2 linked regions of the Ovis aries genome follow. The main gene of each other region encodes a partner of the protein of the gene in region 2 in a complex. Links are inferred from orthologs where the notes say so. Each region holds a gene or a part of one and is shown on either strand. Other genes may lie near its edges. The genes, in order: WASHC3 and WASHC4.

The links.
Region 1: WASHC4 (region 2) and WASHC3 share a complex: the UniProt entries of both Homo sapiens proteins name them as parts of the WASH core complex. The link is inferred for Ovis aries from reciprocal best matches to the Homo sapiens genes WASHC4 and WASHC3.

What each region holds. Positions count from the first base shown.
Region 1 is NC_056056.1:171,460,545-171,465,103, reverse strand, and holds the start of WASHC3 (WASH complex subunit 3), read left to right. Parts: upstream 1-1,607; 5' UTR 1,608-1,629; coding exon 1,630-1,680; intron 1,681-2,227; coding exon 2,228-2,326; intron 2,327-4,559. UniProt on the Homo sapiens protein: Acts as a component of the WASH core complex that functions as a nucleation-promoting factor (NPF) at the surface of endosomes, where it recruits and activates the Arp2/3 complex to induce actin polymerization, playing a key role in the fission of tubules that serve as transport intermediates during endosome sorting.
Region 2 is NC_056056.1:174,304,040-174,307,555, reverse strand, and holds part of WASHC4 (WASH complex subunit 4), read right to left. Parts: intron 2,949-3,516; coding exon 2,852-2,948; intron 2,237-2,851; coding exon 2,040-2,236; intron 1,710-2,039; coding exon 1,610-1,709; intron 1-1,609. UniProt on the Homo sapiens protein: Acts as a component of the WASH core complex that functions as a nucleation-promoting factor (NPF) at the surface of endosomes, where it recruits and activates the Arp2/3 complex to induce actin polymerization, playing a key role in the fission of tubules that serve as transport intermediates during endosome sorting.

The sequences.
Region 1 (4,559 bases), about 2.8 Mb from region 2:
GAATGAATAAAGAGGCTAGAATTCCTTTACTTAACCAAATCCCAAAAGATGATTGAATCCGCTTGCAATGCAGGAGACCCTGGTTCGATTCCTGGGTCAGAAGGATCCCCTGGAGAAGGCATAGGCTACCCAGTCCTATATTCTTGGGCTTCCGTGGTGGCTCAATGGTAAAGAATCTGCCTGCAATGCAGAAGACCTGGGTTCGACCCCTGGGTTGGAAAGATCCACTGGAGAAGTGCATGGCAATCCACTATTCTTGCCTGGAGAATCCCCACAGACAGAGAAGCCTGGCTGGCTACAGTCTATGGGGTCACAACGAATCGGACACATCTGAGAGATCTAAGCACAGCATCACTCCTGGGGGAAGTGGGGAGCAGGGTAGGGGGTATTTAAATTTATTTTCCCACTATGCTGAACCAATACTATACTCCTCTAATTGTTCATCCTGAAGCAGAGCAGAAAGAAAAACAAAGAAATAGGAACACAGTCTTCTCATTTCCCCTACCTAAGAACTGACTCATGATAAAAGTGACTTTCTAGTTATCTGCTATGAAAACAAAGATAACTATTAAAAGATTCTTAAAGACTTTTTAATTTAATGGCTATATGCAGGTGGCATTTCAAATGCCTGACTCTTCAAATCAGTATTCATTACAATTTACTTGCTTTGTCTCCAGAATTTAGTACAATAAGTGAAATCCAATGAGAGAAACTCTAGAGGAAGGATTATATATTCCACAGGATTTCTGGCAGTTGTCCAAAACTTCTAGATATTGTCTTTAACAGCCCTGGAAATTCACTTAAGTTGTGAGTGGCACTGCTGTCAGGAGCTATGGATGATTGATGAACAGTAATGATCAAGGATCCTAGGAGATGGAGAGACACTCCCACTTTTCTGTTAACTAGAAATTACATCTCATAGCATTATATTTCTTTTCTTTTTTAAAGAGCACTTAAAAAATTTTTTTTTGTCAATCGTCCGACTTAGGATAACGTTTCTATAGTTCTCTACTGCTGCTGCTGCTAAGTCGCCTCAGTCGTGTCCGACTCTGTGCAACCCGATAGACGGCAGCCAACCAGGCTCCCCCATCCCTGGGATTCTCCAGGCAAGAACACTGGAGTGGGTTGCCATTTCCTTCTCCAATGCATAGTTTTCTCTATAGATACATATGCTAAACCTCATTCAATCTTTGTATTCACCACAAGGCCTAGCATAGTATCTGGCACTTTTTTTTTTTTAATTAACGAATAACTTAGCTGCATATATAACACACCAGACTAAGCAGGGATAAACTCAAACAGACCCCACGGTTTACTTTTTTATTTTGGAGTGGGGCCAGACTGGAGGTAGGTAGTTAAGACTGCTAGACTACAGCCTTGCTCCACCCGACCCCGCCTTGTTTGACGTCACAATCCGGAGCTGGAACTACCATTCCCAGAATGCCGTGCGAATGGGCCGGCTCTCTGGAAGGCGCCGAGTGATTGGCGGGAGGAGGCGTTTCCTTCCGGCGTTTCCCCGGACCCGGAGGCGTGGACTAGGAGAGGCGTTCGGACGCTATTACCGCGTTGGGCGGGCCTGGCTGGGGAGGGGTTTGGGGGTGAGCCCTGAGTCCCCCGCCCGCTGAGGAGATGGATGAGGATGGGCTTCCTCTCATGGGCTCAGGCATAGACCTAACTAAGGTTTGTAAAGATGGAGTTGGATTTCGGCGACCTGGGAGGAGGATGGGGAAGGGACTCTGGGTTCCCAGAAAGACCCCACCACTCTGCCCAACCCTGGCCTGTGCGTGTCTTCCCCCTCTCTTGGGAGGGAGGGTTCCACAGTTCACCTTAAAAATGGGTCCTTCCCGAGCCTTCTAAGGTGGGGCGGGAGTAGTTTGCCTCTCCTCTCCTTCCCTTCCCGAGTCACGAGTTCTTATGTTCAAGGGTAAGAACTCTTACCTGTTCCGACCTCTTTTATATTTGGCCCTTCCAGTTTTTCGTGTGTTTGTGTGTGTTCCCTTTACCTGCGAAAGTTCGCATCTGTGAATCCAGAACCCGTTCTCAAACTTTGCAGCCTCTGTCATTTTGGACACCCCACCCCCACAGTTTAGGAAAACAAGTTAATGACTATTCGCAGTACTTCCAGTAACTATCACACAGGAGAACGCCTCCTTATTATTAATATCAAGGTGATTTCGTGCTGTACGTTTCGGCCTGTACGGATCATGTTTATTTTTACGTAAAACAGGTGCCAGCTATTCAACAGAAAAGAACGGTGGCTTTTCTAAACCAGTTTGTGGTGCACACTGTACAGTTCCTCAACCGCTTTTCTACAGTTTGTGAGGAGGTAGGTCCTTTGATACTGGTTGAATGAGTGGCCCAATGTCACCTTGCACTTTAGAAGGTAACAAATGAGTAAAGTAAGAATTATGGTGTATGCAGTCATGTACTATGACCTCTTGTCCCCCAGTTATTGTGTTGACATAGCTTAAATCCTCTTTGATTCTATTACCGTCAGTTCCTACAGCTCATCTCTGCTGAATGAACTTTCTGGAGGCTTTGTGAAATAGTTCAGTAAGGTTTATTGTGATTAAACAACAAAAGCAGTTCCCAGATTTCACAAAAACTTCTTTTTTTTAATTTTGAAGTTTCTCTTACCCTAAGGATTGCATTTTAAATATATACTGTTTCAGTTTCTATTAAAATTATGTTACATTGCTTCATGGAAAAGATGATTGGGGAGGTAGCCTAGAAACATAACTTGGGCATCAAATATCATGATAGAAGTAAAAATACTTTCTGCAAATGAGTTGTGAATTAAGGATCAAGTAACCCAATGACCCAGGTGGCACAGTGGTAAAAGAGTCTGTCTGCCAGTGCAGGAGACATGGGCTTGATACCTGGGTAGGGAAGATCCCCTGGACTAGGAAATGGCAACCCACTCCAGTATTCTTGCCTGGGAAATCCCGTGGATAGAGGAGCCTGGTGGGCCACAGTTCATGGGGTCGCAAAGGGTCGGAAACAATAGCATGCACACACAGCCCAGTGACAGGTTAGGTACCATATCCAGGGACACCTGTCTTAACAAAAAACTAAAAGAGAGTGGGAAGGAAAATGGGAAGCATGACTTGAAATTGGTTTGAAGAAAGGAGAAAAAGAGGACAAAGAAGTGGGACAGTGATCTAAAACCAAAAGGTGTTCTTGATCAGTTTTGTTTAATACTTGAGGATCATGTAAAACCTTAGGGCTCCACTTTGGGGTCATGAACTACCTGAGTGCTGAAATTACTGTTCATCATTTGAGTATCCCCCACGATCCAGTCTTTGAATGAGACTGTTCATAGAGGGATGGTTGCTGCCTATAAAGTGTAGGAATATAGATGTCCTTGGGGCCATTATTCTGTGTTAAGAACAGGATACACTTATATATACTTTAATATATTAAAATCATTGTGCTCAGTCCATAGGCTAGAGAAAATTCCCACACAGATAGGACAGTATTTCTCCATAAGCTTGCAAATTCTACTTTACAAAAGGTCAGTGACCACTCAAAATTAAATACCCCTTCTGTGGGGAATCCCCGATGGCTCAGCTGAATCTGCTAGCAGTGCAGGAAACGGGAGACGCAGGTTTGATCCCTAGGTGGGGAAGATCCCCTGGAGGAAGAAAATAGCAACCCACTCCAGTATTCTTGCCCAAAGTATCTCACGGACAGAGGAGCCTGATGGGCTTCAGTCCACAGGGTATCAAAGGGTCAGGTCTCTGAGAGTTGAGCCTCAAAGAATTGGACACAACTGAGCACACATACAGATAGAGTATAACAAAAACTATCTTGTTGATTGCTTATCCATTATCAAAGCGTCATGATTCATTCTTTCCTCCCTTCTGTTCCTCTCTCAACTACCCCCCTCCAACTGTTTTGACTATATCACTATTTCCTGCTGCTTCCTTGAACCCCAGAAAAAACTTTGTTGACAAAAATTCATGAAATTTAAAAGTAGCTAATTGCCTTTTTCTCCTTAATGGATGGTAATTTAGGATTGACTGTCACTCATTTAGAATTCAGCTTGTAGCATTCATCTTGGATGTTTATGTCAATTGTAGACTTTTTACTTGGTGTGATGACAATAATATTTATTGTGTACTTATTCTGTGCTAGGCATTGTGCTAAGTGCTTTACGTGTACTTAATTATCACAGCCCAGACCTTTAAGAAAGGTCCAATTATCTCTTTTCTAGAAACACAGAAACTGAGATGTAGAAAGGCTTAAATCATTTACTTAGTCATTTATTCATGCACTCTTCATATATTTGAGGGCATAGTATTTATAGCTGCAGTAGCTACTTGCCTACATTCAAACAGCTAGAAAGTAAGAGCTGGGATTCCAATTCTGATCTGTTACCTGGTTGCAATCTTCTGTTCTGTTGCACCATCTAATTGAATAAGAGGCATGTTTATATCATTTTCAAGTGAGAGATTACACTGTCTTCTTTATAGCTATTTCAAAATTTAGTTTTTAGATTTGTGTTCTCTTCTTTACCATGCCATTTCTATTTAATAAAATGTCTTTTATATGATAAA
Region 2 (3,516 bases):
ACTGTAGTGCTGTTACTGGTAAAAACATGACTGCAAATTCACATATAAAACTGTCCAGAATGAATACCTTCCCAATTATGTTTATAGTTTATTTTTTAATGTGATTTTTTATTATGAACATAATAAAATGAATTCTGGCTTTTTGTGCAAAATTTCATATGCATATATTTCATTAACAGAGCAAAACTATTTAGCTAATACATTTAGCAACTCTGAGCAACCTTTAGCTAACAGCCCTACAGCAGAGCCACCACCCAGGCATCAGGCAGATATCTGGGTGACATACATTAACCCCAAACCCCAGAGAGTTCCTAAGAATAGCAGTCCAAAGCAAGGAGCTCTACTGAGACTGCAATGTTTATTTTGTCTTAATGCTCTAGGCTTTAAAAGTAAATATCCAGTCCACCTGCAGACAAAGTTCTGGCATCATGACAGGCCTGAGCACAGCCTACGCAGTAACTGAACTACTGAATCTAAACTCTTAGATTCTAAGAGTTCAGTTACTGAATCTAAACTCTTAGATTCTAATCTAAACTGAACTCACAGTTCAGTTACTACTGACTCAGATTCTTCCAGATGACTCTGCTAAGTATTATTTTTAAATGAACCCCAAAGTAGTAAATATATTTTTTCATTTAATAAATACTGAGTATCTTCCAGGCAACAGCCTGAAATCATTTTTCAAGCACACTTACTTAGTATAGATTCCAAAAATGCTTGCATATGCTAGTAATACTGATGTAACATTATCAATAGGAAACAGGGTAATGGATGTAAGTGGTCTACTGAAATGAATGATGTCTCTTCAGTGTGAAATACATATTTTAAAAATTTAACTGATAAGATTAATAAAAATATCATAGTTCATGAAGTTCTTTTATTCTTGATCATTGTGAAATAAATACGGGCATGAAGAAAGGAAGCAGAGCAAACATGAAACCCGTCAAGTTGCTGTACGTAGTTTTGAGCGTCCACAGAGGAAGCCTAAGCGGCATAACTTCCATAACAGAAAAAAGGAAATTACCATTTTTCAGAGAAAACAACTGGTGTTAAATTTCAAATCTGGGAAATGATCATGAGGGTCCCTTAAGTATGAAATACTGAAGAATTTACACCCGCATAGATGATATCAGACAGAATCCTCTGCCCAGTGACCATCAGTTACTATGGCTGTACTGCTCTGATTCTCCAAGCTCCGGCTATAGAGGGGCACAGGAGGCTATTCACTCTGATACTGAAAGCGTCCTGAGTCACTTGGCCTGGCATTCAGTCAGCATCCAGTCAGCAGTCCTGCCCTCAGCAGCATTTAGTCTCCTCTAATCTGTTCCTTCTCAACTGCTAACAGCTGAAGGGTGAAAGAAAAAACCCAAACTTGGTGCAATTTTAAATTAAGAGAAGATGAGCTGAATAAAGTGTTATTCCAGAATGAAATGCATGTTAAATTTCAGTTTCACAAATGATCCACTTAGGCTTTACTTTTTAAAAAAAGGATATTTCTAGGCTTATATATTTTTTCAAAAAGAAAAGTCTGACTCAATAAAATGGGGTATTCATATCTATTATTGATGAAAGATTTACTAGTCTTTCCAAATAAAAGCCACTCACTAACCTTCTTTCTCTTTCTTTTCTTGGTTTTCTTCAGCTGCAGTCTTGTCAGCTCTGAAGAAAATTCTTGCACTGCTCAGTGAGAAATACAGCAATTCAAATTCCTAAGTAAATAAAAATATCAGAAATAAAAGTTGAAAATATATATTTTAGCAAAATATCAAAATTACCATATTTAATATCTCTTCATTTTTCTAAAATGCTCTAGTAAGTGCACATCATAAATACAGAAACTGAACTAAGCAATCTATCCATTTTTAAAGATATGAGTCAAATGGCTTCCAAGTATCATTCATTTAAAAATATACTCTTTATGACCATTATTCATTTCACCTATTAAAATGGGAGTTTCAATATGATTGACATTTTTTCAGTGATCAAGAAGTAATGGGTATTAAAAAGTCAAACCAGATTTGACTATTATTCTCCTCTACCTGTAGATAAACATCCAGTCGTTTCTGAGTGAGATTCATGGTTTGTAGTAGTTTTTCATCCTGACTAGTTGACTGTACATTTTGTTGCTTAGCAACTGCTCTCATCTCCTTCAGGTATTTCTCTCTAACAGATTGGAACCAGTGAAGTGAGTCAAATTCCTGGTACTGATCCAAAAGCTTCAGAATGTAAGCCACACCTAGAGTCATCAGCAAAACCAAATCAAATTACAATGTGTACACAAACTGTATTCCACTCTACCAACAATTCTTAAAATTAAGCTAACCATTTTAAAATTAATCCTCTTTCCAATTATGCTTTACAGCACAAATGAGAAACTTAGCAACATGGCTTAATTCCTCCTTAAAAAGATGTGATCCTATAAAGAAATTTTTTTTTAAAAAGCCAATCAGGACGATAAAAAGAAATAATATGGCTATGAAGATCTGCAGATCACCTGGAGATAACACAGGGCTGTAAGAGTGGTTCTCCTGCTAAAGAGACAAGTGAGGAAACGATAAGGAAAGCAGAGAGACTAAATAAAAGATGGTCAGACTGTAAAACTACAACAAAAACAAAGCCTAAATAATTAATCCAAGTGATTAGCAACACCAAAGGAGCATGAACAGTACAAATGATGGGAAACAAGCATTACCAATCAGATGACCCACCTAAAAAGTAAACAGTAAATAAACACAGCTTGTGAAAAACAAATCTACAAAGAGCACATAGATCTATTCTCAAGCAAACATTTCAAAAAATTCACTGTAAGGTAAACACAAAATTCATGGGAAAAGAATTTCATTAAACTTACCCATGGCAAAGCCATCATCAGTAAAGGCAGCTCCAATTTTATTTTTTTTATTCAATTTCTCCTTGCAACTAATGGAATGCTCTACAAAGTTGAGGGTCTAAAAAGATATAACAACATATCAGAGAAACGACTGTGCTAAAGAGAGTCGTCAGAATTTAGTTCCTAAAACAGACATTTCAAAACTTATAAATAGGATCTCTTCTAAGTTCCTGCCTTTTTGATTTGAAACACTTGCCTCATATAAAAAGCCTCTTGGTGAGGTCACAGTATGTGTAAGTATCTCATAATGGCTCTTTTCCAAATCCTTTAAATGTCAGCACTCCCTCAATCACCACTTAACCCAAGCACAGTGCCTTGTTATAAGATGCTTACTAAAATATGTACATTTTACAGATGAAGGGACTAAGACTTGAGAAGTTTAGTACTTTCCCTAAAGCCATAATCTAAAGCAAAGTTGAGTCAGAAAAGTAGGTCTGCTTTATTTAAAAGCTTGAGTGAAGTCTCTCAGTCGTGTCCGACTCTTTGCGATCCCATGGACTCTGTCCTCTGTCCATGGGATTTTTCAGGCAAGGATACTGGAGTGGGTTGCCATTTCCTTCTCCAGGAGATCTTCCTGACCCAGGGATTGAACCCAGCTCTTCTGCATTGTAGGCAGACACTTTACT